Linked DNA regions of Drosophila melanogaster. The protein of the gene in region 2 interacts with the protein of the main gene of each other region in a pairwise test. Each region holds a gene or a part of one and is shown on either strand. Other genes may lie near its edges.

Region 1 (9,192 bases), on a different chromosome or scaffold from region 2:
TTATGACAATTAAACAGAGTGCGACCACACATGTCACTTTTCATCGCAATCAGATTTTGTTTTGGTCTCCTGTTCAGCGACTATAGGGGTTTCCTTATCATGGTCAGATTTAAGAGGCTTCTTCTCCTCCTCATCGTCCTGATCGCGTCCCAGATTCTGAAGTTCCTTTAGCCCGGAATCAGGCAACTGGTGACAGCCACTGTTCCATGGCTGCAATTTGGATTCCGAGAAAAGCACATACAAGATGCCACTGCCTGTTAACATCAACGAGGTGAGCAGGAACACATTCTTCCAGGCATCAATGGTTTGCTTTAAAAAGGGATTATTATACATGGAATAAATAACTCCTTTCAAAGGCAAAAATACAACTTACATTATTGTGAGTAAGTTGGCCCACGATGAAGGGCGATATGAAGCCCGGCATTCCACCAATCATTCCACTCACGCCCAGGACAATGCCCGCATAGTTTGGCGACAGATCGACCATGGAGGCCAAGGGACCCGAGGACACGGCGCCGTGAAGCATGGTGGCCACTGTGACCAACACGATGGCAGCCGTCGCGTTGTAGCCAAAGTAAGCTAGTGCTAATACGATTAAGCCTTTAGTGCCACAGCCTAGAACAAAAAAGAGTTTAAATGCTATTAAGGCTGTACAAAATATCTAAACAATCAGAAGTAATACTCACAAATGAATGTGGCCAACTTGCGGACATTTGTGCGACTCATCTTATCCGTGCGCAGAAGATAGTCGGCGAATATGGAGAAGACGTAGGCGAAGAGCATTCTCATAAGATGCGGCAGTCCGGACAGGAAGCCAGTCTGAAAAGGAGCAGGCAATGTGTAATACTCTTGACCTACAAAATCTATTAAACACTTACCGCTCGAATGTTCCAGTGGTGAATCAGTCTGAAGTAAGTCGGCGCATGGGTCATCAAAGTGAAGAGACCCCAGATGCCACCCCATTGGGCGACCACATTCAGCCAAACGGGACGAGAGGTGGCAATCGCCTTCCAGGGTGTGGGTCCCTTGCTGCCCTGAATGGAGGCACCCAAGGACTTCTCGATGAACTTTCTCTCCGAGTCAGCGATGCGGGGATGCTCAGCGGGACTATCGAACACAAGGAACTGCCAGGCGATGAACCAGAGAGTGCCCACGATTCCGCAGATATAGTAGACCCACTCCCACCGTGTCCAATCGATGATGTAGCCGAAGATCGGATAGAACAGGGCCACGCCCACAGAACTGCCCAAGTAAGCACTGACAAACTTGCTGCGCTCGTTGGGCGGAATCCATTTGGCAGTGAGCACGTGCATCGATGGCCAGGCCAAGCCCTTTAAAATTAAAGATTTAAACTTTCCATCAAAATCTGCTCAACGATCCCTTACCGTTATCCACCCCTGGAATACTCGCAGGATAATCAAGCCCGTGTAGCTCCAGTACGATACGATTGGTATAAGGAAACAGCAGAACACACCGATGCCATTGGACCAACCAAACACCAGTTTAGTACCATATTTGGTGGCCAAGATGCCGCCGGGAATCTGCAGTGTCCAGTGGGCCCAGAAAAATGATCCCAACAGAGCGCCCTGCTGCTTCTCGTTCCAGTGAAATCCATTCTTTTCGTACGGAATCTGCCAAAGATATAGTGCACACACACGTTACTCATACGCCCCGTTGTTGCACAAGCTCCGTCACTTTGTGGCTTTCATTAAGCACTTAACCAGTGATTCAGCGATCTGATACTCACATTCGCCCAGTCCAAAAACCAACGCTCCAGCGAAAATCGTTCATTCATTTCCGCAAGGGCAGCCAAGTCCGTAGAGTTCTCGTGGGTTTCATTTGAGGTAATAGCACCCTTCCCGGCAATCATGTCCACAATGGTAATGTTCAGATTGATCCGGATCATGTAGTTCACGATGAAACCGATGAATGTCATGTACCACAGCACAGTGCGCGCCTCGACTAAAAAGATCAAAGTAGAGTACATGAAATGCGAGCTCCCAACTTGTGGTTGTTCTTCATTTGGAGGTCTTAAACAAGATCTTCGACTTCGAGTTTCGAGGTAAGACACGAATTTCAGATCATTCTCGTACCTTGGCCCATGGTGAATGGATTGACTGGTTGAGAACTTCACTGGAAATTTGAACTCTGCATCTGCAGGAGCTGCCGCCAATCCCTGTGATTCGATCGCTGACGATCAACTGCTGCTGGCAGCTGCCGGAAAAGAATGCCAGACCCAGTCTGCCTCCAGTCGATCCGCCTGTATCTGTATCTGTATCTCTTTATCCCAGCCGGACGCCACTGATAAGCGCCGCAGATCTGGCGGACTATGCTGCAGCTCGGCTCGTGATCGCTCATCAACCTGCCCAACATGCGACAGACAACGACGAGTTCGGCGATCGGCAGCGCTCAGTTGAAATTCGCACTTAGGCAGACCGGATCAGTCAGCTGTTTGACTATCTTTATGATATGGCGTGCTCCCTGTGGGTTTCGTTATCGCGTTACGAGAGATGAAGACTAGATATTCCTGAAGACAGCTTAACGACGGACCGCTTGCCGGATTTACAGCTTTTCAAAGTCCAAACAAACAAGATTGTGGATTCCACCTCAGAGCTAAGCCAATGACTTCTCCGATTTGGCCAGAAAAACAAAAACCTGGGAATAGGGAGCTCTTGCCAGAAGTTGGGGATCAATCATTTTACTTGAACTAAAAAACATCCACAGTTTTTAAGATTCAATTATATTTGTATTTACACCGAAAAAATGTATGCGTCGCGATCTATTGAGAACTTGAGTCACAGTTGAGCTACGCTGTTATTGCCACGGGAACATTTACATGAGGATCACGGCATCCACTTACTACAAAATGGCATACATCAGGAGTATCTTCCTCATTGACTGCACCATTTTTGACTGTAGTAGTGTAGTGAGCAATGTGTACTTAGGTATAGGCTAGCATAAGAATGAGACCTACGAATTGCCGTCTAAATCGAGGGCTAACAGCTGTGCGCGTCTGCCGTCGTGGGGGACACCGTCGCAGGGCGTGGTGCTCCACAAGTGGCTTCCCACAGACGGCTCAGGACTCATCCGACATTTTCGTAGGACATTGGAGGCCGTTCGCTGGCGGTCGATCCGAAGATCGTTGGCGGATGGTGTTGCTGTCCCTGTTGCTGCTGCTGGTGGGGATGCTGTTGCTGTTGCTGGTGGGGATTGTGGCCATGCTGGTGTTGCTGTGCGGTCGGCTGCTCGTTGCGAAGCTGTCCCAGCGGAAACATGATGTTGTGGGCCATCTGGGGGTGGTGCAGGTGCTCATTGGGTGGCGGTGGAGGCGGTTGCTGGTGGGCAGCATGAAGGGCCTGAGCGGCCTCCACATGCTTGCGTTGCTCGCTTTGCTGTTGCTGTTGCTGCTGATGAACCTTCTCCACGCTGTTCTCCTCGTACTTCTTCTGAAGTTGGAAAAGAGGCAGCTGCTGGGAGGTATGAATGGGCACAGCAACTGCGCCTGCAGATGCTACTCGCTCTACCTGTGATTGAGGCGATGGTTCACGCTCGCCCTTTTCGTATTTCTTTTGCAACTGGTACATGCTGTGGGACAAGTGAGTAGTCACCGTGCTACTGCCACTGCTGCTAGAGCTGAGTTTTGAGGAGGTTGACGTAGAGGAGGGCGCGGGCTTCTCCGCTTTGACAGGCGACTTCTTCTGATACTTCTTCAGTATCTGCATTAGTTCGGACTTTACATCAAGGCGTATCTCCTCCGGAACTCTCTTGATCTCTTCGTACAGGGATAAGAGGAACAGCTTGTCGGGATCCCGGTTCTTGCGCTTCTTGCTCTTTTTTGGAAATGCATCCTGCATGAACTGCAGAAGCTTCTCCTCAAATGGCGACTCTCTGGATAGTGATCCACTTCCATGCTGGCGCCTCAACAGGTGTGGATGCAAGCCACCGTGAAAAGCAGGGTGCTGGAGCATTCCGGAGTGGGATTGACCACCGCCGCTATGCTCGCCTCCTCCACCGCTGCCATTGTGCGCCTGCAACTGGGATACTGGGTGTCCCTGATATGAGCCACCATTGCTTGATCCAGGAGCATCATTGGTTTCGCCATCGTTGGTGTGATGATCCTGCTGCTGCTGTTGCCCTGCATGCGATTGCGGATCCTTCTGGTGCTGCATATTGTGCTGGTGATGGCCCACTGCTGCCGTGAGAATAGCATCGCACAGATGCTCCGGGGCGTAGTCCAAGCCGGTCAAGAAGTTCTCCGCCTTGAGCTCACCATTCATCTCCTCGTAGAAGTACTCGGTGCCCACAATGTCGATGATATCGTTGTCCTCCTGGTTTAGTTCGATCCCCGGTGGTGGAGATCCTCCAGAGAGTTGACAGCGCTTCAGTTCCGCCAGCTTTTTCCTTGTGGTCAGTCGCATATCGCGCCAGCACTGGAAGAAGATTAAAGTTTATTTTTGGATTTAATAGGCAAGTAAACGCACCTTTTTCCACTGAATAATCGTCTTCTTGGGACCAATAGTATTAAGGGCCGCTTGGATCTTCTCCCAATACCACTCCTTCTCCTTTTTGCCCTCCATGTACTTGGTTTCCCGCAGCAGTGTGATGAGCATCTTCTTCTGCGGCTTGGTCACTCGATCCTGGAAGAGTAAAACGGTTCATTAGCAATCCCACATTCCAATGAATGAAATTCCACAAATCGGTGCTTTTCCCGCCTCGAACACCACTCCAATTGTTGCTATTGTTTATCCAAATGCCAGCGGTGTCTACAATATTTTGCTGCTCCCCGCACACACACACGCACAAGTCGTGTGTGTGTGTGGTAAAAGAATCGGACGATTCGTAATTTTTGGAACCTTGCAAATTACCATGGTGAGCTTTTGAAGCAGTCTGCGTTGGCTCGAAATCTTGATGTTTTGTTTTTCAACCGCCGTCGAGTTTTTGCTGCTGAATTCCGGGGACTTTTGTTTAATTTTTCACTCCCTCAAACATTGCTGTTGCTGCCTTTCGTTCTTCTTCTTCTGTCCGCTGCGTATGTGTGTGTGTGCGTTTGACGGTCTCACCAGTTTGACGTTTCGCCCGCCCGGTTGGAAATCAGCTGATGCGCAAACGACCGTTACAAAATTAAATTTGTAGTTAAATTACTTATTTCGTTGATTTAAGTAATGTAGCAATAAGTATATTGACCGATGGCTCTTGAAATAAGTATATTGCTGTAATACACAACCTTTTTTGCGAATTAAAAAAACTTGAAAAAATTCACAATTAAAATGATAAGAACAGTTTTATATGGTATTTTTAAAGTTTTATTAAGTGATAAGAAAGTAAACGAGTTCCATTTCAGCGTTTGTTGGTTGTCGCCTGTCTGCTGACCTGCCGGGTGATGGTGGACACACCCTCCTCGAAGAGAGTGCGGAACAGGACGTTGGCGTGGTTGAAGAGACCATCCTTGAGAGACACAATCAAGAACTGCGAGTTGGTGAAGTGCTGCTTCAACATACTACCTATGTTTTGGGTGTGTGACATGTCCAGGGCAGCGTCCACCTCATCCAAAATGTACAAGGGAGCCGGAGAGAACTTAAGCATGGCCAGGACAAGGGACAGAGCCACCAAGGACTTCTGGCCACCAGAAAGTTCACCGAGACTCTCCTTCCATATGCCATTGAAGCCGACTTTAATCTCCAAACCGGTCAGACAGCCATTGGTATGGACGGGATTGAGTTTCGCTTCAGCACCCGGTAAAAGGGAGCTAAAGATCCCACTGAAGTTCGTGTTCACCTCGGTAGCGGCTTTGTTCAGCTGATCCTGCTCTTCTTCGTCCATCTTCACTATGATTTTCTTAATCTTCTCCTTGTCCATCGCCACAATGTTTCGCCGGCGCTCGGTCTCCTTGAAGTTCTCTTCCTCGCGATCCAGCACCATGATAGCGTTCATGTTGAGAGTGCGTTCCATTTTGTCCTTTTTCTCCTGCATCTTTGCCAGCTTGTTGCCTGCTTCGTGGGGGTCCTCCTTGCTGTAATCGTACCGAGTATTCTTCATGCCAAAGCAGTTCTTCTCCTCCGGAATCCACGGATACTTTGCCTCAAGGGCTTCCATCCGTTTCTTTGCCTCTTTGGCATCCGAACTGATCTTTTTTTGTTCGTTCTCTTTTTTCTTCACCTCCAGCTCAATCTCCTGATTTTCCTTCAACATTTTCTCCTTCTTGACCAACTGATTTCGCATCTCCTTGTTCTGATCTCTCAGTTTATCTTTCTGCTCCTTAATCGCCTGTTCGAGCTCCGTCACCTCGGACGCGGCACTGGAGCTATTTACTTTCAGAGCGTCTAGCTCGGCCTTAAACTTTTCGAGGTTATCAATCATTTCCTGGTGCTGCTTCTTTGCAGTTTCGATACTTTTCTGCAGCTCAGTAATTTCCAATTGAAGAGTTTCGAACTCCTGCTCTCGCTTTTTCCAGTTCGCACGAGATTTCTCCGCCCTTTGCTTGGTCACCTTGATCTCGTTGGTGGCTGCATTCAGCTCTCGCTCGCGATAACCCTTTGCATCTGCCAACTTCGCCTCGATATCCACTATTTTGGCTTGCGAGGTCTTCTGCTTTTCACGGGAGTCAATTATTTGCTGCTCTAGGGTCTTGACCCTTTCCCTCATTTCTTCAATTTCAGCCTGATTCTGTTGAAAGGTTGTTTGGGCCAACCTGTTCTCGCACATGGTTAGCTCGTGCTGTCGCAAGTCAAGATTTTCCTTCATTTTGTTGAACGCGAGGGCCTGGTTTTCAATGGATCTAAAAACAGATAGGCGTAAGTATTGGCAATGAGAAGTTACTGGTTCACCTACGCAATTTGCTTTTCCACTTGGGCTATCTCAGAGTCGATCTCCCTGTACTCCTTTTCTATTTGCTTAATTGCGTGCAATTCTTCTAGAACGTTAGCACCTTTAGGAGCAGCACCTCCAGACACTGTGCCATGGGGATCGACGACATCTCCTTCCAAAGTCACAGAACGACAATTAATACGGGGGTCGTAGCTGATCTAGATAAAAAAAATGCATTTAAAAGATGTACAGAAAAAGAAATATATATACTCACTTGTTTGGCTACAATGAGGTCCTTGCAGATAAGTGTTCCGCCAAAGCAAAACTTCATGACAGGCTCGTAATAGCGGTCATAGTCAATCAGTGACATGGCCCATTGGACATTCTCGGCGCCCACTTTGTTTTGAGCGTATTCTACCACATTTCTGTTTAGCGAACCAGATTGAATCTTGTTGATGGGAATCAAAGTGACACGACGCTGAAGATTGCCCCTCTGCAAGATCTTCTTGCTAGTCACATCATCGTCCGTCACGTAGCTATATAACTAACATAGAACTCGTGATTAAAGAAATAACTTTTCAAATCAGATTTAACAACTTACACTTCCGCCGGCTGTCTGGACTAGAGCCATGGAGTTTTGCATGTCTTTCACCTGGAACAACTTGCCTACCAAACCACGCACCTTACGCCGATCAAAGTTTGGTTCTGGGTCCTGGTATTGCAGATCATAGCGGGAGGCATTGCAGCGGTCCAGCTCTCGTTTCAGATCGCGCTTTCGCATGTGCAGATCATTGCGTCGCTGCTTTAGCTTCTCGAAATGACCGCCCTCGTAATCGAGACTTTGTAGCTGCCGTTCTAAGTTCTTAATCTCAACCACCAACTGATCATGCAGCTTCTTATCCTTTACATAGGCAGCGTCGTTGGTCTGGGTCTCACCCTCACGCTGTTTCAATACGCCACGCGTATGACGCAGCTCGATCTCTGAGGTCTTAATGGTGGTCTGTGCCTCGCTGAACTGCTCCTTGGCCACTAAAGCGGGAATATAGGTAATTAAAATGATTTAGTTTCATCCCCGACAGACATACCTATCAATTGTTCTTGCAGTGTTGAGGCTTCTCCGTTTTCATTGGTGGAGAGTCCCTGCGAGACAGCCTCCAGCTTCTTTTGGGCGTCCTCATAGGCTTTTGAGTCCCTGGCATCTGCCTCCTTGAGGCTTTCAAATTCGCCTTGAACCTTGGCCATGTCCGCTTCTTTTTTTGCCAGGGCTCGTTCATCATCCTCAATGTTTTTGGATGCCATGCGAATTTTCTTCTCATCTTGCTGAATCGTTCCCTGGGCCGCCTTCAAGCTACCCGTAGCGGTAGCTTCTAGTGCCCGCTTGGCGCTGAGCTGGGTTTCGAGATTTTTGATGGAGCCACCCATCTCTGCATCGATCTGTTGCTGCATCTCCTTCACGGAGTTTTCAATGCTCTCGACCTCTGCGAGGTTCTTGGCGTGAGTGGCCTTGCAGTTCGCTATGCGATCCTCGATTTTGTGCTCATTAGCCTCCACCGTCTTGAGGGTCTCGCATTGCTTGAGATACTTGGCGGAGATGTGAATTCTGATGAGGAAGTCTATGTCGCGGCAGATTTTCTGATACTCCTGGTAGGCGGAGCGTTCTTGGCGCAGCTTAACCAGCTTTGGCAGCACCTCCTCGTCGAGCAAGACCTTGGTCTCCCGCACTTTGGTCTCCTTTTTTTCAATCAGGGTTTTGGTGGCATCTCGCTTGGTTTTGTACTGACTGGTTCCCGCTGCCTCCTCTACCATTGACAGAACCTTGGGGAAATATCTATGTTAGATGGAGAACTATTTATGGTTGTGTTTTTCTGGCTACCCACCTCCTTGGGCTTCATATTTAGCACTTGTTGGATCTTGCCCTGCATGATCAGGAAGTTGGGATTGTTTACATTTAGCTGGATGGAGCAGAAGAAGTCTTGCACCTTCTTGTTCTGCACCAGCTTGCCATTGATGAGGAACTTGTTCTTGCCTCCGACAACCACCTGGCGCGTCACAGAGATCTCCCGGCACTTTTCGTAGCCCTGCGGACACTGGGCGGGATTTGTGTTGTCAAACACAATGGTAACAGTGGCCTTGGTAATGCCCGCCTGCCCATTCTTGTACACCAAATCCTGTAGAGCCGAAGCGCGCACCTGGTAGCACAGAGATAAGCGTTGAAGTCCAGCCCCAGACATATCCAATTGGTACTCACATTCTGGAGATTACTAATTCCCAGTACGAAACAAATGCTATCCAAGATGTTTGACTTGCCGGAGCCGTTTAGACCCGTGATAGCCGTAAATTCTGGATCGAATCCTTCTATCTCCGTGCGCCGGCCATAGGATTTGAAGC
Region 2 (8,632 bases):
CTTCTTCTTCGAGCAAGGCGCATAAAGCATCCTCGATGCCTTCATCGCGAACTCGGCAGTAGAACTGGTGGCTTTCCTCACAAGTTTGCCTTATCCCATACGCGCTCTTTACGTCCTCATAGCACTGTGGGCATATCATTTCCGAAAACAAATCGCCACGTTTGACCTCGAATCCGGTGCACTGCGCGATCATCTCGGCAATGGAAACTCTGGTTCTTCGTCTGGCGTCAAATATGTTAACGAGTTTACCAGAAATATCCATACAAACTCGGCATATTTCCGCCATTATCCCTGTAATAAACAATACTTATTAGGCTGAACTTTATGAAGGACTATATTACTTACCTGATGTATATACTAAATAGCTTATAGCTGGAAAAGCAATCTTTTATAATTTAGGAATCCGTTTCATACATCCCAATTAATTGAAAATTAATGCGATTGCCTTGATGAACAATTCAAAATAATAATAAGCTAAACTTCACATTGTGCACAGTACACTGGGCACCCTATTCTCTGGGCCATATGCTAAATCGATTTATTATCGATGTTCGAAATTCAAATTATTTATCAAAATGATGATTTTTGAAACTAAGGTGTGTTTACCATATTTAACAGCTGAGATAAACGCAAACTTGCAAGGGTCGCCCTGTGGTGGTCAGCCCAAGTTTTGATGGGAAAATTCTTATCGGATATCGATATCCTTTACCTGTTGAAGAATATAAAATTGAAATAAATTTCTTTGGAAAAACAAACATTTATCTTCGTATAGTTTTTTCACATTTTCGCCTAGCTAGTGGTGAATAATTTTGGACAGAAGGAGCACTGGACTTTTTCCGTGGAAATCATAGAAAAATTAAATTAAAAAGGCACAAAAAGGAAATGAATCTCCTCGCCGAACTTCTTTGCCAGTATAAAAATAAATTCACATATGAAAAATCGGGTTCCTGGGTGCCACTGAATATGTTTATCCATCGATTCCGGGCTCAGATTACCACCATTGACCTGAAATTAAATAAGCATTACTTACTCCAAATAAAATATAAACAAACAAGTGCGTACCTTTTTTGTTTACAATTTTAACAGCTGATGAGTGAAGTGCTGTTAACCTTTCATAGTTATCGATAATCTGTTATTATTATCGGAATATTGCTCACTTGCTAAGGATTCCATGAAATTTAAACAAATGGACTTTGTGACGACAACTGGGGAGGGAAGTTTTCTGCGAAACAAGATTCGTGCATATGCCAAGGATCACCGTGTTGAGTGCCGCATAAAGGCGAAAGACTCATTGCGCATTGGACTTGGACAGGTTAAGCAGGAAGTGGCGGCTCTTGAGATGGGCACCAAGGACGTCATTGGAATGGCCAGCAGGATCAAGCGTCGCAAGCACGCCACCTCCGAGGATCTGTGCCGCTTGTCGCTGGGGTTCCTCCAGAGCAATGACAACATCAATGCATTCGCAGCTATTCCTGGCGCCATTCAGGTTCTGGTTAAGGAGCTAACTGGTAACCAACTGCACCCTCATTAGCTTTAGTTTTATATAAAAAGGTTGACTTGACTTTCAGGACCTCACATTCAACGACAGACAGATGCCGTGGAGTGCTTGTGTAATCTTTCCTTGGGCGAGGCCCATGTCTCCGAAAAGATTGTCACTTTGGCGGGCAGCTACATGGTCACCTACCTTGATGGCAAGGCCGAACGCCTCAAGCGCAGTTGCCTGTGGACACTGGCCAACGTTCTGGGCACATGCGACAAGGCCGGCAGCGTATTGCTGCAAATGCAAATAGTACCCAAGCTGTGGAGGCTCTACATCGAGCCCAATGGCTGCCAAGAAGATGCGGCCATCTGCCTCTCCCTGGTGGCCACCCGCTGCCCGCAGCATGTGAGTGACGAGGATCGAAGGTACATTGGCCAGAATCTGCCTGAGAAGCTCCACGGCCAGCCTGCCAGCGAGTACTTCATGTACATAGTGCACCAACTGGAAATAGTGACACAGGAGCACAAGTTAGATGCTCAACAGGCCGAATGCCTGGTGCGTTTCTTTGAAGCCACCTTAGCATCGCCAGCCGACCGGCTGTGCCTAATCTACGCCGTGCGTGTAATGACCAATCTGGTAGCCCTAGGTGACACAAGTCTAATATTCGCACTGGCAGACCCGCAGAATCTTGTGCAAACCCTAAACCAGCTCTTCGCTCTGCGAGATCCAGATCTCAACCTGGACGCGATGCGCTTGCTCAAGAACTGTCTGCACTTGAAGGTAGCAGATTCCAACCTGGTACTGAATAGCTTGCAAATATACGCATAGGCTTATGGTTAAGAATAAGTCTTGCAAATCTCTTTATTGGTCTTAGAGTACATATAAATATAAAGCCACGGACTTTTGAGTACTCGAGAATGTATTGTAAATGAACATGGATTGCCGCTAAGCAAAACTAAATCACTAATGGAAACAGAATAAAATAAATAAATAATAAATAAATACAATACGACAAAAACACAGATGCAAAGTGGTCAACATGATTACTAGTTTGATTGAGCCACCGGCATGAAAAACAGGACTTTGTAAAACCTAAATATCATCCTCGAAGAGGGCGATTATTTGACGCCTTTTGGCTTCGTCGTCGGCGTTCAGTTCATTGCCCCTGTGGGCATTGTGGTTGTGCACCTCCAGTTCGGAGACTGAGTCAAATTCTAAATTGCACTGCCCGCAGCGGGCTGAGAAAACGGGCGCTGGACCCTGCGAAACTGTGCCAGGAGAGACAGCGGCCCGTTGCAGCTTCTCGAGGAACGTGGCTCTCTCCCTGTGCTTGTCCAGCCCGATTCCCAGCGCCGCCTTTCCGCGAATGGGAATGGGTTTTTTCACCGTCGGCGTGCCCTGGGAATGGCAACTTTCAGAGCGCTCAATGGCGTACAGCACGTTGTTCTCCTCCGTGATCGGAGTCGTCGTTCCGCTGGCACAGTCGAATAGAGATGGTTCCTGCACCGGCCGGGGATCGGGTATATCTATGGGAATTGGCGGCTCAGCTATCTTCTCACCGTTGGACACCTTCACCTGATTGAGCTTCTCGGCCAGAAGCGAGTCTATGGAATGTTCCTGCAGCCAGGCGCAAGTTTTGTGCAGAGCGAATATCATGCGGCGGATGAACTCGTGCGGCGAGACCATTTTCTGTCGCCTAATCTCGAGCAACTTGGTCACCTCGGTAACAAACGTGACGAACTGGTATTCGACGCAGTTGTCCAGATGCGACTGATGCGAGTCCTCGAACATGAAGCGTTTGGAGCATGCCGGACACTTGCGCTCCTTCCACATGGGCTCCGGTATGTTCACTTTGATGTCGCGCAGCTGCAGCTGATCCTGCTCCATGGGATCGTCCTCCTCGAAGTTGGTCTCGGTGTAGTTATAGCAGTTCTTGTGCTTGCGCAGCAGGGCCGCCTCCTCGTTGTCGTCGCTGGAACTGGCCACCGCATAGTCGTCATCTTCGTCGTCATTTTGGCCACTGCTCGATGGCAGTTCGCCATCCCGCGGTTGCCTGGGCATGCTGTTGTGAGGCTGCTGCTTGTTGAACAGCACGTTTAAGTACTGGATCTTCTGCTCAGCATTGCCGTCTAGCTGGGTAGTCGTCTGATTGAGCAGTCGCTTGTGTACCTTGTCCTTGGATGACTCCAGTTTGTTGGCGCTGTTGTTTAGCAGAAGATTATGCACTGGCCTCTGCTCCACATAATTCAGATCCTCCGCCGTGAAGAGGGCGCTCTCCTTGTCCATCTTGTTCGCATCCGAAACGTTGACCCTCTTCTGCTGGTAGAGCTCCGCCAGCTTGAGACTCAGCGCGTTCTTGATGCACTGTTCCCGGAATGTGACGGCATGCTTGAGATAGGAGATGCACGGCGCACATATGTTGCGTGGCAGTCCGTCGTCCGTGGAGTTCTGCGGTCGGTCGAAAGAGGAGGCACTCATATAAACATTTATCTGGCTACTTTAGAATGGAGTCACTTACTTTCAGGCCCGTCGTCTCCTCCAGCAGAACGTTTATGGGCTTTTGCCAGTTGAGAAACTCGTTTGTGGAGCCGTGCAAATACGTGGGAATCTTGGCGAATATCTCGTAGTCTGCGGGGCTGCTGCAGATGCGGCAGATATTGCCCCACGACGTCATACTTATGGCAAACCTTAAACTTAATGCTTATGCCGGAAAAAATAAACAATGACAATTTTCAACACTCCGGCGAGTGTTGCCCTACCACTGAAGGTTCAAAACTCAACAGTCCACCCACTTGCGGCAGTGATGTCCAGTTAGCTATAACAGGATTACAGCAAATTTTTTGAATATTAATTATTATTAGCTAAACACGTGACAGATATATTAATGACTAAGACGATAGTTTATTTAAGCATAAATAATACTGTTGAAAATACAAACGTAGATTTATTTGATATATATTTACAAAGCTAGATTTTATTAACACCAATTGGCAACAGTGGCCAACAGTCTGTTAATGCTCTTGATCTAGCTGAACTCGGGGGTCACACTGGTGCCCATCTGGAATTGCATAAACAAACCTCGCTACTGGAATAAAATCACAAATATGTCGTTTAATATCATGCAAAAGCTGACCATGCAGTGCCTGAAGGCAGACCAGCCGCTGATGAGTAAGGACTTCCCACGAACCGGTTGCATATTCTAATCAATTCAATCCCATTTAGCCACCGTGCGCAATGCCAGCAAGAAAACCGGCGGAAGTACGAGGAATAAGAAGGGCCATGCGAGGCCCAAACATCGCGGATGGCGCGTCCAGGATGGGCACCACGTCTCCGAGGGCACAATACTGGCCACCCAGCTCACAACGCGCTTTCATCCGGGCCTGAATGTGAGTAGCGCAGGAAGGAGTTATCCCGGCATATTTTTATACTTTTTCCCATTGAAAGGTGGGCTTTGGCCGCAATGGAACCCTTTTCGCCATGGAGCACGGCAAGGTTTATGTGACCTGCGAGGCCATCGATCCCAACTGGGACCACACCTGGATTCAGCGGAACTACGCCGGTCGCCAGGGCCAGAACATCTACAAGAAGTTCTTCAATGTTGTGCCCGAAAATCAGCATCAGCGATTTCGTCTAGTGGAGGAAATCTAGATTGTTAAATACAAAATTTAAACCAAATGGAAATGTGAATATTTGAATTTTTGGCAATTAACATCGATGTGCTTAACAGCACCTGTTATATTTACATGCCAGCACGACCGTTATACAGCACTGTATTTAGCAATGCTCTGAACCAACTATCGAATACACGCCCCGAATTTGAAAAGAAATCCAGTTAATAGCCAGATATCAATGCAACATTTTCGATTATTAATTTCGCAAAACTTTTTACATTGCGAACTTCAAAAACAAAAACTACACTTCCCCCTTTTTTAGCCAAGCCGAACGCTATTGAACTGTAAAATGAACTTTAATAATAAGCCATAATCATCTATAAGAAATTATAAAATTATGCACATGACGGTATAGGCACTGCCTACAGAATTTCGCTTAAATCAAGTACACGTTTTATCCTATGAATGTAAAAACTTATTTAGTATTGTTGTAGTGAAATTCAATTTAACGCTTATATATGCAGTATTATGTTTAATTATTCATGATTATATATTTTCATAATGCATATAGACTTAAATTTATCTTAAATATAATGGTGTGTACGAGATATTTTTTCAGACTAAAATGGTAGTTAGGGGTATATGTTTTCTGTCCGGATGGTATTTCGTATTTTTTGTTATCGCCGCCGGGCGGTCACACTGCTACAACCGCAGCCAACTTCGCTTCTTTCTTTCCTACAATTTTAAAGATGGTGAGTGGACGTCGGTAAATGTGGTGCACCTAAAATGTGGTTTGTGGGCAGGCGAATGATGTGGAATAGAAATAAGAGCTCACTCAAAGTGCCGCAGCATGCCTGCCCACTGACTGCAATGGCCAAGTGAGCATAGCGACTGGAGCAAGTAAACATAACCTCCAGCACGTGGGTGAAAATGATTGAGGAATGCTCAATGAAAACACGTTTCTTTTCTGCTCTCCCTTACAGTCGAATATCAAGCGGAAGAAGACCAGGAAGCTGCGTGGTCATGTGAGCCACGGTCACGGCCGTATCGGCAAGCACCGCAAGCATCCCGGAGGTCGCGGTAACGCTGGTGGCATGCACCATCACCGCATCAACTTCGACAAATACCATCCTGGTTACTTCGGCAAGGTGGGCATGAGGAACTTCCATCTGCGTCGCCAGCACAAGTTCAGGCCCGAGATCAACCTGGACAAGCTCTGGTCCCTGGTCGGAGCCGAGAAGTTCGCCGAGCTGGAGAAGGAGAAGAGCACCAAGGCTCCCGTCATCGACTTGGTTAAATTCGTAAGTTTCGCCCGAATTCCCCATCCAGCTACGCGAACTCTGCTGCCGCTTTCAACATGAAGATACACCCAAGGCGATGGGCGGACAGAATGCTACCGTACAATTGCTCTCACCGTGTAGAGGACAGCCTTTCAGATCAAAGCCAGCAGTTCTTGAAGAGGATGTGCACCCGTTCTCACCCCGTTGTAACCCATTGTATTGACTCTGGTGTCCTTCTCATGTCTCCACAGGGCTACTACAAGCTGCTGGGCCGTGGTCACCTGCCCGCCCGCCCCGTCATCGTGAAGGCCAAGTACTTCTCTAAGAAGGCTGAGGACAAGATCAAGAAGGCCGGCGGTGTGTGCTTGCTGAGCGCCTAAGTTAAGGTGAGCTTGTGTGTCTAGCTGTCTTACCTATTCGTCGGCGAAGCAATGAAGTGCAGTATCCTAATTGCTATTGTTTCCCTTGCAGATTCCTCCTCTACAGAAGAAAAAAGCAAGTGGACTACATTCGACCATCAAAAATGTATTTGTTTTTTAATAAATTTAAAAGAAAAACAAGTATTTGCTATTCCGACAAAATGTGTTTACTAAAAGGTATTGGGGCTTCATTTTCTGCTCGCTTGGCGCAAGTTGTTTAGAACTTTCTATTTCTATTCCTGCTACAACTTTCCTTTATATTTTTATAAAGAATAATTTCTATATGGTTAGTTTGTTGTGGCAAAGGAAAACTTGTATTTTGAATCAAATAACAAGGGCAAATTTAAATGAGTTTGACAATATTAGAAGTATGCCTATTTTTGTAACTTAAGAGGAACAGTAATAATATAAAGAAAATAAATAGTAATTTAAAGAGTATAACTGCGTCGGTGCGCATTATCAGTTAATCCCTCCATTTTTAGCACTATTCTCGACTAGGCTTTTTGCGCCTTCGCAGCTACGGTCACACAGCGGCGGGCAGAAAGCTCGCGGAAAAATTCGGAAGAGGCGGAAAAGTACGAGACGCCCGATATTGCAAAAAGCGGAAGCAGATTACGTGTAGGTCAAGGCCGTAGGGATGAGGGCAACTTCCATCTTTGACCTTGCTGTTGGTGATGGGGTGCGGCGACCTTGGGTCAAGGACACGACCGAACAAGAGGCACCGAATCCAGGAAACGTAGTCAAAGTGGAGGGCATGCCTGTGTGGGCGGGGGATGTTCCAGTAAAAACAAAGTAACTTGATTATGACCTCTGTGTTGCAGTTAGGAAACGAACTTGTTGACTTTGTAACATTACATAATCGGAAGCCCAGAGTGAGGAGAACTGCTGCGAGATGGCCAACAAAGTGCTGCGAAAGGTGACGCACTGCGTCTTCGACATGGACGGTCTGCTGCTGGGTGAGTGCTGCCGTGCTTGTATCTGCTTTCTGTGTTAACTATTTGCCGAACAGACACCGAACGCCTTTATACTGTGGCCACCGAAATGATCCTCGAGCCCTACGGCAAGACATATCCCTTTGAGATCAAGGAGCAGGTCATGGGCCTGCAGACGGAACCGCTGGCCCGGTTCATGGTCGAGCACTACGAGCTGCCGATGTCGTGGGAGGAGTACGCACGCCAGCAGCGCGCCAACACCGAGATCCTGATGCGGAACGCCCAGTTGATGCCAGGTACTAATCCCAGTTCTCGCTTTGCCGTCACGTTTCAGACACGGAGAGGATATACGAGGAGGTCACCCGGCAAATAGCCGCCTCCTTTGGCCGCCCGTATCCGGAGGAAGTGCGTTTCCGGGTAATGGGCACCACGGACCAGCGCTCGGCAGAGATAGCCATCACCGAGTGCCAGCTGCCCATCACAACCGGAGACTATCTCAAGCGGTACTCGCAAATGTGCCACGAGCGATTCCACAACGTACCCCTGCTGGAAGGTTAGCACCACGACCAGAAAACTAATCGGCATTTCTCCCTATAAATACTTCTGCTTCAATTACTATCCTACTGTGATTAAAGCCGTTTGTTAATCGTGTGCTTCCTTCCCCGTTCAAGGTGCTGAGCGCCTGCTGCGTCACCTGCACGCCAACAAGGTACCCTTTTGCTTGGCCACCAGCTCCGGCGCCGACATGGTCGAGCTGAAGACGGCCCAACATCGGGAGCTGTTCTCCCTGTTTAACCACAAGGTGTGCGGTTCGTCGGACAAGGAGGTGGTCAACGGCAAGCCTGCGCCCGACATTTTCCTAGTGGCCGCCGGCAGATTCGGTGTGCCGCCCAAACCGTCCGACTGCCTG
Region 3 (7,132 bases), on a different chromosome or scaffold from region 2:
ATGTACGTCTTTCCACAGATCGAGATCCCGCCCAAGGCGATCGAGGCGGCCAAGGCCAAGGGCATGGCCCCCGATGTTTTCTACGCATTTGAGCTGCTCGAGACGAGCGGTGAGTTTTCTTTGCTGACCTCGTTTGTTAGTCTCTCAATTTATTGTTTAATTTTCTCCCAGGCATTTGCATTGTTCCTGGCAGTGGATTTGGTCAGAAGCCCGGCACGTGGCATTTCCGAAGCACGATCCTCCCGCAAACGGACAAGCTGAAGCTGATGATGGAGAAGTTCCGTGTGTTCCACGCCGAGTTCATGAAGAAGTACAAGTAGATCAGCTGCCAACTTCCCCGTCCTCGATCCCTGTGTTAAGTGTCAATCCTCCGGCTTAGGATTAAAAATTTAAATTACCCTAATTGTTTTTTTTTTTTCCTCTTTGTTACTGTGTCATAGCTGAATGCTTCTAAGCTCTTCTTTATATGCATATATAGATATATATGAGAAATATATAAAAACATTTTTAAAACCCTATGATTTGTGAACCCAACCCGCGCAGGTTTTATCGCCACGATAACGTTTCCAGTTAGCAATTAACCCACTTAACCATGTAGTCTTTGATTCTTAATTGAACGAAAACTCCTGGCGGAGATTTGACAATAATTTTTGTTAGAACCAAAAGTAGTTTACCATCTTTTGGTCGGCGCATAATTGAAAATTCTGATATTGTTCTAAACGAAAGTTATTTGCATTGTGTATATTTATATTTATCTACACATAAATATATATAGCCCTGCATGTGCTTATCCCCCGCGAATCGATCACGAAAATCATATGATGTGTGTGCGTTCAAGTCATTACTAATTGTTATAGACAAGAAGAAACTTTGAAAATAAATAAATAATTATTATTGTTAAGCCAGCGCTGCGTTAATTTCAATTTGGGCAATGGGTATCCTTTTGTAATTTGTTTTTAAGAAAAGCTGAAAATCCCGACATTCCCATTAAAAACACCCATTGTGTATATTTTCGGTTTTAAATTAGGTTCAATTTATTGATTCTCATTTCACGACTTATGTAACTACTTGCACTTACGCCAAACAATCGCATATAGTACCTTTTTTTCACTTTTCTCTTGACATGTTTTGTGTTGCGACAGATTTAGGGTAAAAACCAAGTGGATAAATAATTTAGGTTCGCGGACATACAATAAATTTACCTTTGACATCCATTGTTCATCGGATGCCTCACTCTTTGTGTGTTGTAGTTGTAGTTGCGCTGGTGGCTTGTTCTTTTTATCTTTTCATTTTCTGAATTAAAATCTACCAAAGTCTTAAGGCCTAAAAACCAATGTGTACCATAGTTGTACTGTGGCTATACTAGCGAACCATTCGGATCGAAGAGATGGCTGGGTTGTGTGGTGGTCTTTTGTGAAGTTGCTCGATACCTTTTTTTTTTTTGTTTTTTGGTTTTGTTCTCTGTGGGGGGGGGGGGGTTATTATATGGAGGGGGACGAATTTATTGAGTCAAACTTCAGAAATCTGTTGAGCCATTTTTCGTCTGGCAAAACAGATCCTTTTTGTCCTCAACTCTGGGGCCGTACTACTTTATGTATATATCTCTGTATATGTATAATATATATATATATCTATATATATGTGTGTGTTGTGGAGTCCAGTTTTGGGCTGCATCCCACTACTACTCTTCTCATCTAATGGCGGTCCCTGGAGTCGGAGCGACTGCGACGATCCCTCGAAAAGCTGCGGCTGCGTGTCCTTGAGCGGCGGGGTGAGCGTGATCTGCAATGAAATGGGTAGCGTTTGGGGAAAAACATATTGGGCCCGGCACACACATACAGGACACAGAAAGAGAGAGGTGAGAAAGAAAGAGAAAGAGAAAGAGAAAATACAAATTAAATAGATTTTGCACCAATGAGTAACTTAACTAGTCGTGTAGTTAGATAACAATTCCTTAAGATACGTAAAGTTGATAAGAGTGGTCTCGATCAAACAACACACAACTTGGGCTGACGGATCTGGTGGATCGGATACGGATCGGAGAGCTGACATTGGAGCTTTAATTTGAGCTGAGCGGAGCTGAGAGCTGGCAGTAATTTTTTTCAGTTTTTTTTTTGGTGGCTGAAGGTGCTTGAAGGTGGTGGAGATATAGCTGATATATATATATATATATATATTTTTTTTTTGCCCCATTAACGAAAGCGTTGGTGTGACATTTACATAAAGTAATTGGTGGTGGTTGGTTGGATTGGTGGCTGATTGGTTTGTTGGTAGGTTGCTTAGTTGGTTGATGAGCAGAGCAGACTGAGAAGGCTGTTGTTGTTGTTGTTGTTGAATTGTAGTAGTAGTAATAGTAGTAGTAGTAGTAGTAGGTTCTTGTTGAACTGTTGTAGTTTGGGCTGTTGTTGTTGATACGATACTGAGCTGATTGACTGTGACTAGGGTGGCTGTGTTGTGTTTCTATTATTATTATTATTTCTTTTTTTTTGGTGTGTGTTGTTGGTGGATATATTGGTGAATCATTCTATTCTGTTGCAGCAGCCGAAGAACGTAGGTCGTATGAAGAAGCAGTTGGTGGGGAAGCATCAGTTAGCAGCAAGAGAGGATCAGGTTGGTGGTTGTGGTTTGGTGGTGGTGGCGGTGCAGCTCCTACCATCCGCGCTGTGAAGTTGCGAGCTTGAAGAAGATTCTGCCCTGCCCTGAACTGCTGATGCTGCTGGTGCTTTGGTCGATTGTTGGTGGGGTCGTTTTGTTGGTGAACTGTCTGACTGTGAGTTCGAGCTGATCGGATCAATGCATATAAACACACATTTACACAATATACTTGTATATTACACACAGAGAGCAGACAATTAGCGCGAACAAGATTATCTCAGTAGATGTTAGGATGCAAGAACAAAAGGTAAAAAAAAAAACAACCATAATTACAATTACGAGTATAACAAACGGATTTTGTTAGAGGCGTTACGTTACGTTTCGTTTCGGTTCGAGGGACAGTGTTGTTGGTGGCGGCCAAAGGTTTCATACTTGCTGCGATTGAAGGAATTAGCATGAAGCAGCCTCAATCTTGGTTTGATTGCAAGGGAAAGGTGCAACTACTGAGTGGTGGAACCAACAAAAAGTCTACCAAAGGCTTTTCAGCCTCGAGATCGATTTGCTGACTGGCTGCCAGATGTTCTTGTTGTAGTAGTAGTAGTAGTAGTAGTAGTAGTAGAAGTAGAAGCTGTTGTTGCAGTTGGTCTTTGTAGCTGTAGCTTGTTGCTGATGCTGTAGCTGCACTAAAGATGACGGATGATGAGGTGGTGGGTGGTTTGTTGGGGACGTAGGAGCAGGCTGAAGACAACCGCACAACTTGGAGACGTAGGAAGTTGACTTTTTGAAGCGTTGCTGGACTGGTGAGTGTGTGTATAATATATATATAAATATGCAATAGATGCATTTTGGCATTTGGATTCTTGATGAAGTTGCTCTGTTGCCGCCGACGATCGGTTCGCTCTGGTTCTTGGTGATTAGTGTGGTTAATGGCTGTTTGTGTGAGTGTGTCTGTTGTGTAGCCTGAAGATGTTGCCAACTAACAGACTATAAATGATGTGGAAATGTGGAATGCACTGTGGGGCATACGACCATCTTCGTTTGCTAAATCCTATTTATATTCCAAAGCAATATTCTGTTATTTGACAAAGAAAAAAGACCAACGTTTAGCAGCTAAATCCTATTCAAAATAGGCATAGATCGAAGATTACTTAAATCGTTTTCTTTTCTTTAGTTTGTAGCTAGTCGTGTGCCCCATAGTGGAATGTATAGTTAGGTGACTGTGGGTGGTGTTCGGTCTGGTTTTGGGTGCATTATTCTTGAAGCTGCGGAGCCGAAGACGTTGCTGATGATTCATTTTTTTCTGTTCTGTTTTTCTTTTTTTTTTTTTTTGCCTGGGTTGAGCTGAACAGGTGGTGGAGGGGGTGTGGTAGTGTTGCGGTCGTTCGGTTTGGTTCTGGTTCTTGGTTTTGTGGTCAGCGGAATATATCGAATTTGTTGAATTTCTGGTTAGGGCCGCACAACAAATTGTTATTGCATGGTGGTGGTGTAGTGGTGGCTGTAGTTGTTGTTGTTGTTGGTGAAATGTGTGTAATAGGAGGAGCAGGATCTGCTGTTGTACTAGTTGTTCTTGTAGTAGCTGTTGTTGTTGTTCTTTTGGTTGTTGTTGTTGAAGGAAGAGGAGTAGTAGAAGTTCTAGTAGTAGTAGCTGTTGTTGTTTTTTCTTTTTTCTTTGTTGTTCTTTTAATTATCATTATTATTATTATTATTGATGTTGTTGTTGTAGTAGTTCTTGTTGTGCTTGTTGTAGTAGAAGAAGAAGACTTTATCCTGCAAAATGATTGTGAGACCACATTAAAACTGGCTCCAAGCGATCGATTTACTTTGTTTTTACTAAGTTTTCTTGTATTTTCTTTTCATTTTTCTTGTATTTTGTAATTTTACTAAAAACAACAAACAAAACGTTTTCTCTAGTTAAAGCTATACTCTTTGAACTTTAAACTATGGACCTCGGGGTGCATATAATGAGCAATGAAATGTGATACTAAAACAAGATTCCCCTTAAAAAACAAAATACGAGCTAAAAAGAATCGATTGACGTAGCAAAAGCAACCAGGACTGTCGGCCACGGACGCCACTGTGTGCGCGCGGTAGGACTGTTCTTTTTCACGGACGCCACTGTGTGTGTTTATGTATGGCTAACAGTGGTGTCCCACCGTATGTGTGACTGTGTGTATTTTGGCTGGCACCGCTTTTGTATGTATACGCGAATCGATTTTTCACATGCATACATACACACAAGCACACACGCTATATAAATATGTATACATATGTTTATTTATATATATATTTTTGCATACTTTTTTGCACATAATGGCAAAAATTATGATTTCATAATCTCGAGAGAGGGGTAGTGGTAGTAAGTGGGTGCTTTGGTTGGTTGGTTAGTTAGTTTATCTGGTTTATTCTGGGGATGCAAAATGTAATGCTTTTGTGCCGTACTCACCTATAGCGTCCACCGCCATCGCCAGCCCTTCCACCGCCTCCAGCACGGGCGCCACTGCCACCGCCGCGGCCGCCGCCACCGGATCCGCCTCCACCACCGCCGCCTCCACCGCCACCGCCGCGACCCTCTCGTGAACGGCCTGATGACATTTCGACACGGATGCGGGTGCCACAGCAGCGGGTGCCGTCGAGGCCACGGGTCGCATCCTCAGCGTCGCGACGATCCTCGAACTCGACGAAGGCGAAACCGGGCGGATTGCGGGCCACCCAGACGTTGCGCAAGGGTCCGTATTTGCTAAAGGCGTTCTCGATCTCGTATTTGGAGGCCGAGGATCCCAGATTGCCCACGTAAACTTTGCAGGCTAAATCCCATTCACGGTAGCGTGGCATTATGTATGAATATGTATGTGGCTGGAGGTGCTGCTCCTCCGGTTCTGTAATGGATTTTTGGTATTTGTTGTACCACTGGACTTGTCCAAAGTCAATTTTCCAGTTTGTTTTGATGCTATTCCGAGGGAATTCTCCTTGGTTTTTCAAAGAGCACACCCACAAAGCAGGAGCAGAAAAAAGTGTTTGTGAGGAAAAAAAGATGGCGTGCCCTCCAGTGTTGAAAAGTGAACGAGGTGCAGTACCGTAAAGCGCTGACCATAAGATATGCGACTATCGATATTTTATAGGAATATCGATCTTTGAAATATCATTTTATTCTATTTAATAGTTTAAATTAAATGTTTCACAACCTAAGGGTACTTAGTTAAAGTATTATTATAAATATACCTTAATTTATGTATGGATACATTTGCTTAATTTCATATACCCGATGTTAAGAGTAAAACTAGATGTGGTTAATTTTTGAGTCGGCCGAACCAGATACTTCACATAACATACTTCAAAAGATAACATATCGATAAGTCGAGAACACGGAATGGCTTTTTAACATCTGGCAACCCTGCACACCCAGCTGTCCCTATTATATAGGCACATTATTATTGGCCCTTTTTCGTTTCGGCAATTTTGAATAAAATATCGCAGAACAAAATGGCTAAGACACCGGAAAACATAGCCATCGATCAGTTGGACAAGGATCAAATTAAGACGGTAAGCAGAGTTGACACGAAGATACCATCTCATGCCAAGGACCGGCGGTGCCAAGTGATGCAATGTGGTTTTCATTTGATATGTTTTCGGTTCTAACTTTCAGTTTTCCGACTTCCTAATGTCCTACAACAAACTGTCCGAGACGTGCTTCACAGATTGCATACGCGACTTTACAACGCGGGATGTTAAGGATTCCGAGGTGAGTGCCCGTGGGGAAGCTCCATGTGGAAATCAGCGATTTCAATATGCCCATCCATTTCACAGGAGAAGTGCTCGCTGAACTGCATGGAAAAGTATCTGAAGATGAACCAACGCGTCTCGCAGCGTTTCCAGGAGTTCCAGGTTATTGCCCACGAGAACGCACTGGCCATGGCTCAAAAGACTGGCAAACTTTAGGTGTTATAGCTGTTACAAACAATCTTAACTAGTTTAGACAACTGAGATGATGCATTTTCCTGCATTTGTCAAAATAGCTGAGTAAAGAAACGCGTTGACGGAATCCCGACGATTATTATCTACTATTCGATTATTGTGGTACTTTATTGCTGATTGATTACGGCCTAGAGATCTTGTTTGAAAAAGACAAGTGTGGATCATCAGTTTCGAATATGTTCCAGCTGAGTAGCAGCCCATCTTTTTCGTTTTAGCACTTCAGCCTCATGACATTTAAATGGTAGAATTGGGCGCCGCAGCTGCTTACGTGCTAGATGTGCCTACAATTACGTTTAAGTCACGTTAAGACAGGGCCGTAGTCGCATGTGCTCCGTGGCGGATGTGCAACCGATATATCGGTCTTCGGTATCCCGAACACCGGAGCCGACTACGGCGATCTCTAATCTAGGTCTAATGCATAGAGGCCATCGCCTGTGGCCATCTACTCAATACTTAGGGCTACACAAGGTTCGCCAATGCGTGGTTCCCGTTTTCCGGCTGTATATTCAATCGGCTCAATGACTCGTGGTGGCGGCCTCCGACGGAAAGCCCTCTGCCTCTGTGA
Region 4 (7,490 bases), on a different chromosome or scaffold from region 2:
CAGTCCAAAGACTCCTATGCAGCGGCTTGCTTGTGGATGTTCCTGAAACGCCGAAGATCTTTAGGATTGAAAGGAGGCATTAATCGGCAGAATGGCTTACGCGAGACTTGTGCATTCGTTCGCGATCGCGTGATGAACGTCCGGAGCGATGACGCGGCTCCGGTGGCGGCGACTCCGAGGAGGAACGCGAACGGGAGCGTCGGCGAGAGGAGGACCGCTGGTGCCGGCGACTGCCACAGTAATCGTAGTCAGACCTTGATTCGATGTGGAATGGAATGAAATAAGATTATCTTGCGGTTCGTTCTTGAGGGTCTTGAAAAGTTTTGTATTTCGTGTGGATTTCGGGTGGTTCTTGCACGCCTTGGTAACTGACAGTTGGAAAATTTGTGTGACTTGACAAATGCTACGGTTGGGTTCGACCTCTTTCGGCCAAATTCTTTGGTAGTTGGACGTAGAATGAAAATGATTGCTTCGGTGGGTTCTTACATAGTGATGTTCGTTGGTTGGTTGGTTGGTTGGTTGGTTTCTTCCAATGAAATGAAATCGGCTTGAATGATTTTTGGTTTTAACTTTCTTGGCAAGAGCACCAGCTGAATCGGCTGAGGGGGCAAATCCAAATGAAAGGGCCCTATGACAGTTGAACCTTTTTTCCAAACTGCCAGTCAAAACTACTCGATGCTTCATGTCAAAAGAGGTATCGTTTAGGGTCGTCTCACATATGTGTGTACACATTTACCTGCGGTCCTTGTGTCCGGATGAAGTTGTCCCCGCTGACGATGATGACGCCGATCGCTTGTGTTTATATCTGGCGCTGCAATGGAGACGCCCGCTACTGAGTGGCTCCCGATCCATTGGCTTTTTGCTTACCTATCGAAACTTCGCTTATCGGAGCAATGGTGGCGAAAAAAGAAGATGAATGGGTGCACACTATTTGGATTGCCGTTCTTACCATTTTTGAGGGTTTGATTCCCTGCTATATTGCACACCCAATCAGTGTTTACCAATTAATTGATAGCCTTTGGCAGGTTTTATTTATTCTGTCTGCGTTTAGAAAGACGCACGCTTCAACAGGGGTGGCGATAGGTGAGGACGTGCGTTATCGATTGGCACTTTAACCCTTATGCGGCGTTGTCATCCATTTAGAAAAAAAAAACACAAGCGGAATTTATTTAATGTTATCGAATATATTTAACAAATTAAATCAGCATAATTATTATGTACTTTATTCAACGAAATATAGGAAAATAAACAAAATTTGTACTACAAGAAAACAATACTATTTGATTGGTTAGCAAACCATTATGTTATATGGATTTTGTAATAGTACAATTTATTATTCTTGCTTTTAGATAGTCATATACAAATTTAATCCTAAATCACAGGTTAGTTTAGCGATACCGCATAGACCACATATTCTTCACCATCACATAATTATATAGTCTCTGGTGTTCCAGATGATGCAGATCCGTGATGGTTTTCACCACTCGCTCGTCGTTGAAGTGGCTTTTAGGTGGGGCTTCCAGGAGATTTCCCGTCGTAAACCACTTTAGGTTCGAGAAGTGCTTTCTCACACTGTCCCGCAGAGCAACTCCACTGAAAACTGGTGTGCGGTACAGATCAAACATATTCTTCTTGCCATACTTCTCGTGGATCTCATCAACGGTCTTGTCCAGATCAGGCTGCTTGGCGTGATATATGACCCATAGTTTTCTTTGTGGGGCACGGAGATCTGTCAAGCTAAGAACTCCAAAGAATTCTACTATGTAGGGATTGAGTTTGGGTGTTTCAGCTTTTGGTTTTAGACAGAACAATTTTCTCAAATGGCTGTCGATTTCCTCATCCAGGTTGTAATCTCCTTCTGCGAATCGGTTGTTAATCATCGTTGATGTTCCAAATAAATAATTTGCCGTTTTAATTACCCGTGTTCTTATCAGTTACTGAATTCGTTGTCATATTTTAATAACGAGGTGACTCTTGCTTCTCTGACTTCTGAATGCGTGTTAACTTCCTACGCACTCTTATTAAATACCCAACAAATACGATTTCAACTGATTTGTATAAAGTTTGTTTCGTTTTGTTTACGATTTCCAATTTCACAACAAAAGAGCTTTTTGAAGCAACCCTGTGGCCTATCAAAAAACAGTGAGCTTTTAATGCGCTTGTTTCTTTTTAATACCTATTAATGCAGACAACTAGGGTGTTTATGTTTGTTGATTAGGATGATCGGATGACTGTGTCTTTAGACTCCAAGGTATATACTATTATGTACTACTATATTATAACCGCAAGCTACTTGTGTGTGTATATATTTTATTCGACATATTTTTATAAATCATTTAACTTGACCAATAGGTTGTAAAATGTATAATAATACCCCCTATCAACAAATACACATGCCGCTTTTAGTCAACAGATGTCGACTGTAAGTCGATGTTTTTAGTTAGTTTAATGTTTAGCAGGAGGTGGTTTTTGATCATTATACCGCTCAAACCAGGCGTGTTGTATCATTATATAGTCAAAGATTCTTTTTTGCTCCTTGTTATGCAAGTCCGAAACAGTTTTCACTAGTCTTTCATCATTATAATAACTATTTAGTGGAGCTTCCAATTGATTTCTGCTTGTGAACCATTTTAAGTTGGAGAAATATTCTCTGACGACTTTATGAAATCCCACTCCGCTGAATGTGGCGATCTGAAATATTTCTCTGACATTCCTATTGCCATATTTCTTTCGAATCCTTTCCAGAACCTTTAACCTTTCTAATCTAAGGCCATAATAAATGTACCACCGTTTTTGGGCAGCGACATTTGGTTCGTCAATACTGAATATTCCGAAATATTCTATCGTATCAGCATCCAACGACGTAGGTTCTGCAACTGACTTCATATAAAATAGACGTCTCCAGTACTTTTCCAATTTATCGTCCATGTTGCTAATATTCCCTGCTATTAAGAAATATAATCAGATGAAAACTTAAGGTGATTCATAGGCTTTGCCCATTGATAAGTGTGCGGCAATTTTGCCTTCCTACCTCAACAAGCGTTAAAAGAATACTGGTTAGCATTTATTGGCATTTATTATTTTAAAGCTTTATTCTAGAAAGTCTTATACATAAATGAAAATATTTTATGCATTTATGTTTCGATATGTACACGATTTATACAGATTACTCCTAGACATAAGGTAATCGAAGTATCTTCTCCTTTCGTTCTGATATAAATCTGCAATTGTGTTAACCACTTTCTCATCATTAAGGGAGCTACCTAGCGGGGCTTCCAAAATGTTTCCTTTTACGTGCCACTTAAGCCCTTTAAAGTGGTTCTTAACACGGGATCGCATTCCAGCCCCTGTATATACCGGTTTTCTGAACAGCTCGTACATATTCTTTTGGCCATATTTACGATGGATCTGATCCACAGTTTTGTCCACCTGATCTGTTGTCGCATAGTACATGTACCACAGTTTTCGGCGAGGCGCTCGAACATCGCTTAAACTCAGAACTCCAAAGTACTCCACTTCGGTTGGAATGTACTCATTTTTAGTATCGATTTCCTTTAGGCAAAACACACTTCGCAAATACCTTTCCAGTCGCTTTTCTAAATCGGGATATGCACCTGTAGATTATTATATACATATGTGCATCATTATAATATGCCTCTGTAAAGTTTTAACTAAACTTACTATTGGGAGCTTCAACAGCAGATGTTGTCATCTTGAAAAATTTGTTGTTAATAGAAACGGTTTTTCCCCTGCGCAACTTTTATACTTATCGCTCTGTAATATTTCACAAGAGCTTTAAGATTTCGCCAATGGCTCCAAAAGCTTCGAACGAAATGTAATTTTTCTTATTTCTTATTTTACACGATTTATGCGTTTCGGCTTATATAAAAAAATGTTAGAATGTTTATATTTATATTTTATTTGGATACTTAATAAATATGCAATGATAACTATAAGATATTTACTTGAAAGTCCCACACTGAATAAAATATTTAACCATTTATTTCAAAAAAAAAAAAAAAAAATGACGATGCTGCGTAAGGTTTAACAAATTCTTCATTTCAGAATTACAAAATTATGATTTTGCGTTCAACGAAATAATTAACTCTTAATTAACTGTGCTAAAGTAACTTAGAATACTTTCCAACTGGTTTATAGTCTTTGCCCTGCTATATAATAATCTCCGCAGAATCATCCAGCTCGCCTTTGATCACCGTCGTTTCCATGTGCCCTACGCTGCTGTTGGAGTCAGGCAGGATGCTTTCCTCTGACTGCACCGCGTGGTTAATGATGAAGACATTCGGATTTCCGGTGGTACTCAGACTCATTCCGGCGGGGGATACGAATTCGTCAGCAGGAGTCTCACCCAACACTGCACTTAAAGACCCTGTTGATTTCGCTCGTGCAACGGATGAGACTGTGCTCTTGGACAGAGTTCTTGCCGGCGCCGTCTGCTGTTTGCACAGCGCCGGTTTCTGCACAGCTGGTGAAGAATTCATCGACTTTAAAGGGCCCGAAGTCCCTGGTTTTTTCTTGGCATTCGTCCTTGGTGCTGGCATACACACTGTTGTGTTGAGATTAACGAACTGTTTAGGAACAATAAATTGTTTATTAATGACCACATAAATATTTGTCGTAAATAATAACTACCTGACTAGCGTCTTCCCGAACACTTTTCGGGATCCCCAACGTGGATCTTGGCTGAGCGTTTCCTAGAGCTGCTGCTGCTGCTGCTTGGGATGTGGAGGCTTTCACAGGCGTGCTGGTGGCAACATATGAAGACTTTCGCCCTGCCGTCGATTTCGAGCAGCTATACGGAAAGCCAAGTGTGTTCCTGCCCCCATCGTAAAGGGGAATGGTAGCGGGGAGAGAACTCCGCTGTTGGGCATGGTCCGCAGATATTTTCTTCCCTTGCTGTGGGATGTCGGAGGTGGCTATGCTTTTGGAAAGCGTCGAGCTGGTGGAAGCGCCTAAGCTCGAGTTGATTTGGGCCGGGGTTAGAGGAGTCATTGTGCTGGTAGCCTTGTTTAAGTAATGTACATAGTTTTCCAAAAGCTTTGTACCCACATCCACGTCGATGGCCATTAACGAGCTGGTCCTTACAATTTCCTCAATGGTACGCTGTCGCTCGGCCACTGATAAGTTGGCTGCCCGCCGGCTGAGGGTCTGGAGCACCAAGTCAAACATTTGAACCCTCGCCTGCAACTCCACGCGCTGCTTGTCGTTGGGGCAAATCGGAGGTAACTGAATAAAGGACGGCGACGCATTAATTACCATCGAGGTGCCGGCTAATGAGGGATTGGTAGCCACTTGTTGCACTGACTTCTTGATCAGTTTTGTGCCACGTGGCAACTGTTTGCTTAAAGAATCCAAGTCCGCCGAAATGGTAGTGGAAGAGGAACTGCCTGAAACTACGGGAGTGGAAGTAGATGGGTCCACGGTTGTGGGATGATTAAATAGACCTGGATCAGGTAGGGGAGCCGATAGCAAATTCTGTATAATCGATGGAAACGGTTGAGTTGCCGGACCAACCGAAGCGGGAGCAGGTGAAAAGGATGAAGGACCGGTGGGATCAGCAGTCGGAGTGGTAGCCGTCGGGGTCAGTTTACTGGAATCCCGTTCTTTCGACTTGTCCAGTAATTCCAGCTTTGCCCGCACCTTACTTGGCATATTCTTATCCGCCTTAGAGATAAACTTGGTGGTTATAACCAGGAACTGCGGGATTTCCAGCACCGGTACCTCGGCCTTCGAATGCAATCGAGTAAAATCAATAGCCCGCATTGGTCCATCGAGATTTGGACAGCAGAAGTCTAGACCGACGTCGTCATAGGATTGCTTGTAACGTTTCGGGTAGAGAAATGAGTACATCTTGGTCTGCCCAATGGCATTGGGGTTTCCGTCAGGGTCACTGGCGGAGGGAATTGAATGTAACTCAAGCGGCCTAGATGAAGTGGAAACACCCAAGGTGTTGACTTGAATAGTGTCGGGCCCAGCGTCTTCCGTAATCGCATGTGGTTGAGGTGTTGCTGGTGCTGCAGCAACCATAGGCATGGGCTCATTAGGTGAATGCTCATCCATGATATCTTCCGGCTCTGACTTTACCTCTGGAATTGGCACAGGCAAACATTTGGCTTGAAACGTTTGTAGCTTCTGCGGTTCTGCAACCTTCTTGGAACTTTCCAGCAACGTTGGTTCGTCAGGAAGATGTTTTTCAGTCGATGGACAGAGAGCAGTGTTCAAGGTTGCTTTAGCTGTCTGTGCACTTTCGGGTGCGATGTCTAAAGCGGGTGATGTCGATGAATCGTTAGCTGCCGGTGAATCATAAGCTGCAATTGGAGCAAGTTGAGCTGAGCTTTCCCTTATTCGGAGATCTGAGGCCTGTAATGTACAAGAATCGGGCTGGGATGCAGGCAGTGGCTGAATAGCAGGCTCCGACTGTACTTGGGATTGCAGAATTGATTCTGACATCGACTCCGCCGCTGAATCCGTTTCCGAGGTTTCACCAAGCAGTGGTAATGACGTTACATTACGAGATCCTTCTTGTTCTTCATTCCTCTCCTGCGTGCTCCGAAGCCACTTATTATAGGGCCTCCGATTTATTTTCACGCAAAGTTTGCGGGGACTAATATTTTGAGGAACTGTATTACCCGTAGAACGCACTACTTGGGGAATAACAGAAGAAGCAGCTGTTATTTTTACTGGGAACGCAGCAAATGCAGATTCTTGGACATGATCATTCTGTTGTGGGTGGTCCTCTTCATCCATCTCTCTGGGTCTCTTGGGATTGATCACCGCTGTACCGTCTTCCGCTTCACCCGCTTTCCTTTTTGAAACAAGTGGCTGGTTCCTTCCACCTCGTGCACGACGCTTTGATAAAGTCTGTGATTCCCTGATTGGTTTTTTTTGGTCCGAAACAGGCGTAAAGCGCTCCTTAGAAGCATTTCGTTGACTGTCAGACATGGGAGTTGGTGTAGGTGCCAGTGATCTGTTGCTGCTGATAGCTCGGGTCATGTGACCTGGCACATTGAAGATTCCTTGGGATTCGGGAAATGTTGCGCGGATATCGGATACATCTGATTGAGAGTCCATCGAATCCATTAGCTCAGTAGCAGCCTCAGCTTGCAGGGAACGAACCTCAGTCTTGGGCTTCGATTTGGGCTGTTCCGTTTTGGTGTTTTTGACCGCATTTTGGTGTCCGCGACCTTTAGACATTTTCTCGATTTCTGCGTCTTGAACTGGAAACTCTGTTTCCTTGGGCAAAGCTGCTTTCAAAGCAGTTTCAGACTTCGAGACATCTGGTTGAGGTAAAGATGTTCCTTCAGATTTTCTACCATCTATTTTACTTAACCGTTGGACTTGGGATTGCTTTTTCCGAGAAATTGCTTCTACTAAAGACTCCTCCGACTTTCTGCTTTCCGGTTTCTTCAAAACCTCCAGTTGCCCAATTTGTTTCCGGCCTGTTACTGTGGAAACTGTTTTCCTTGAGGATT

The links.
Region 1: the proteins of CG15435 (region 2) and CG10209 interact in a two-hybrid assay, tested with the Drosophila melanogaster proteins (one large-scale study listed by BioGRID).
Region 3: the proteins of CG15435 (region 2) and Tim9a interact in a two-hybrid assay, tested with the Drosophila melanogaster proteins (one large-scale study listed by BioGRID).
Region 4: the proteins of CG15435 (region 2) and CG12868 interact in a two-hybrid assay, tested with the Drosophila melanogaster proteins (one large-scale study listed by BioGRID).

The regions. Positions count from the first base shown.
Region 1 is NT_033778.4:14,843,335-14,852,526, forward strand, and holds CG10209 (uncharacterized protein), read right to left. Parts: upstream 5,033-9,192; 5' UTR 4,869-5,032; coding exon 4,866-4,868; intron 4,638-4,865; coding exon 4,482-4,637; intron 4,431-4,481; coding exon 3,084-4,430; coding exon of another isoform or gene 2,997-3,083; 3' UTR 2,730-2,996; downstream 1-2,729. Other genes in the region: NaPi-T (Na[+]-dependent inorganic phosphate cotransporter), read right to left, coding at 34-309, 374-615, 687-819, 879-1,331, 1,386-1,631, 1,748-1,962, 2,094-2,103; SMC2 (structural maintenance of chromosomes 2), read right to left, coding at 5,338-6,775, 6,829-7,022, 7,079-7,348, 7,406-7,833, 7,890-8,619, 8,682-8,993, 9,053-9,192.
Region 2 is NT_033779.5:4,455,500-4,464,131, reverse strand, and holds CG15435 (uncharacterized protein), read right to left. Parts: upstream 4,404-8,632; 5' UTR 4,155-4,403; coding exon 3,999-4,154; intron 3,929-3,998; coding exon 2,573-3,928; 3' UTR 2,386-2,572; downstream 1-2,385. Other genes in the region: Paris (parkin interacting substrate), read right to left, coding at 1-286; CG15443 (uncharacterized protein), read left to right, coding at 1,172-1,508, 1,569-2,308; mRpL27 (mitochondrial ribosomal protein L27), read left to right, coding at 4,600-4,648, 4,703-4,866, 4,925-5,128; RpL27A (ribosomal protein L27A), read left to right, coding at 5,841-5,843, 6,075-6,392, 6,623-6,751; Gs1l (GS1-like), read left to right, coding at 7,683-7,746, 7,800-8,018, 8,394-8,632.
Region 3 is NC_004354.4:13,379,262-13,386,393, forward strand, and holds Tim9a (Tim9a), read left to right. Parts: upstream 1-5,948; 5' UTR 5,949-6,075; coding exon 6,076-6,135; intron 6,136-6,238; coding exon 6,239-6,334; intron 6,335-6,399; coding exon 6,400-6,531; 3' UTR 6,532-6,632; downstream 6,633-7,132. Other genes in the region: CG1640 (uncharacterized protein), read left to right, coding at 1-109, 172-320; Rbp1-like, read right to left, coding at 4,008-4,362, 5,039-5,427; Ype (yippee), read right to left, coding at 7,083-7,132. UniProt on the Drosophila melanogaster protein: Mitochondrial intermembrane chaperone that participates in the import and insertion of multi-pass transmembrane proteins into the mitochondrial inner membrane.
Region 4 is NT_033778.4:14,603,248-14,610,737, forward strand, and holds CG12868 (uncharacterized protein), read right to left. Parts: upstream 2,051-7,490; 5' UTR 1,954-2,050; coding exon 1,920-1,953; intron 1,859-1,919; coding exon 1,389-1,858; 3' UTR 1,302-1,388; downstream 1-1,301. Other genes in the region: tra2 (transformer 2), read right to left, coding at 1-42, 101-254, 737-852; CG33469 (uncharacterized protein), read right to left, coding at 2,446-2,928; CG33468 (uncharacterized protein), read right to left, coding at 3,127-3,614, 3,682-3,712; Su(var)2-HP2, read right to left, coding at 4,170-4,586, 4,651-7,490.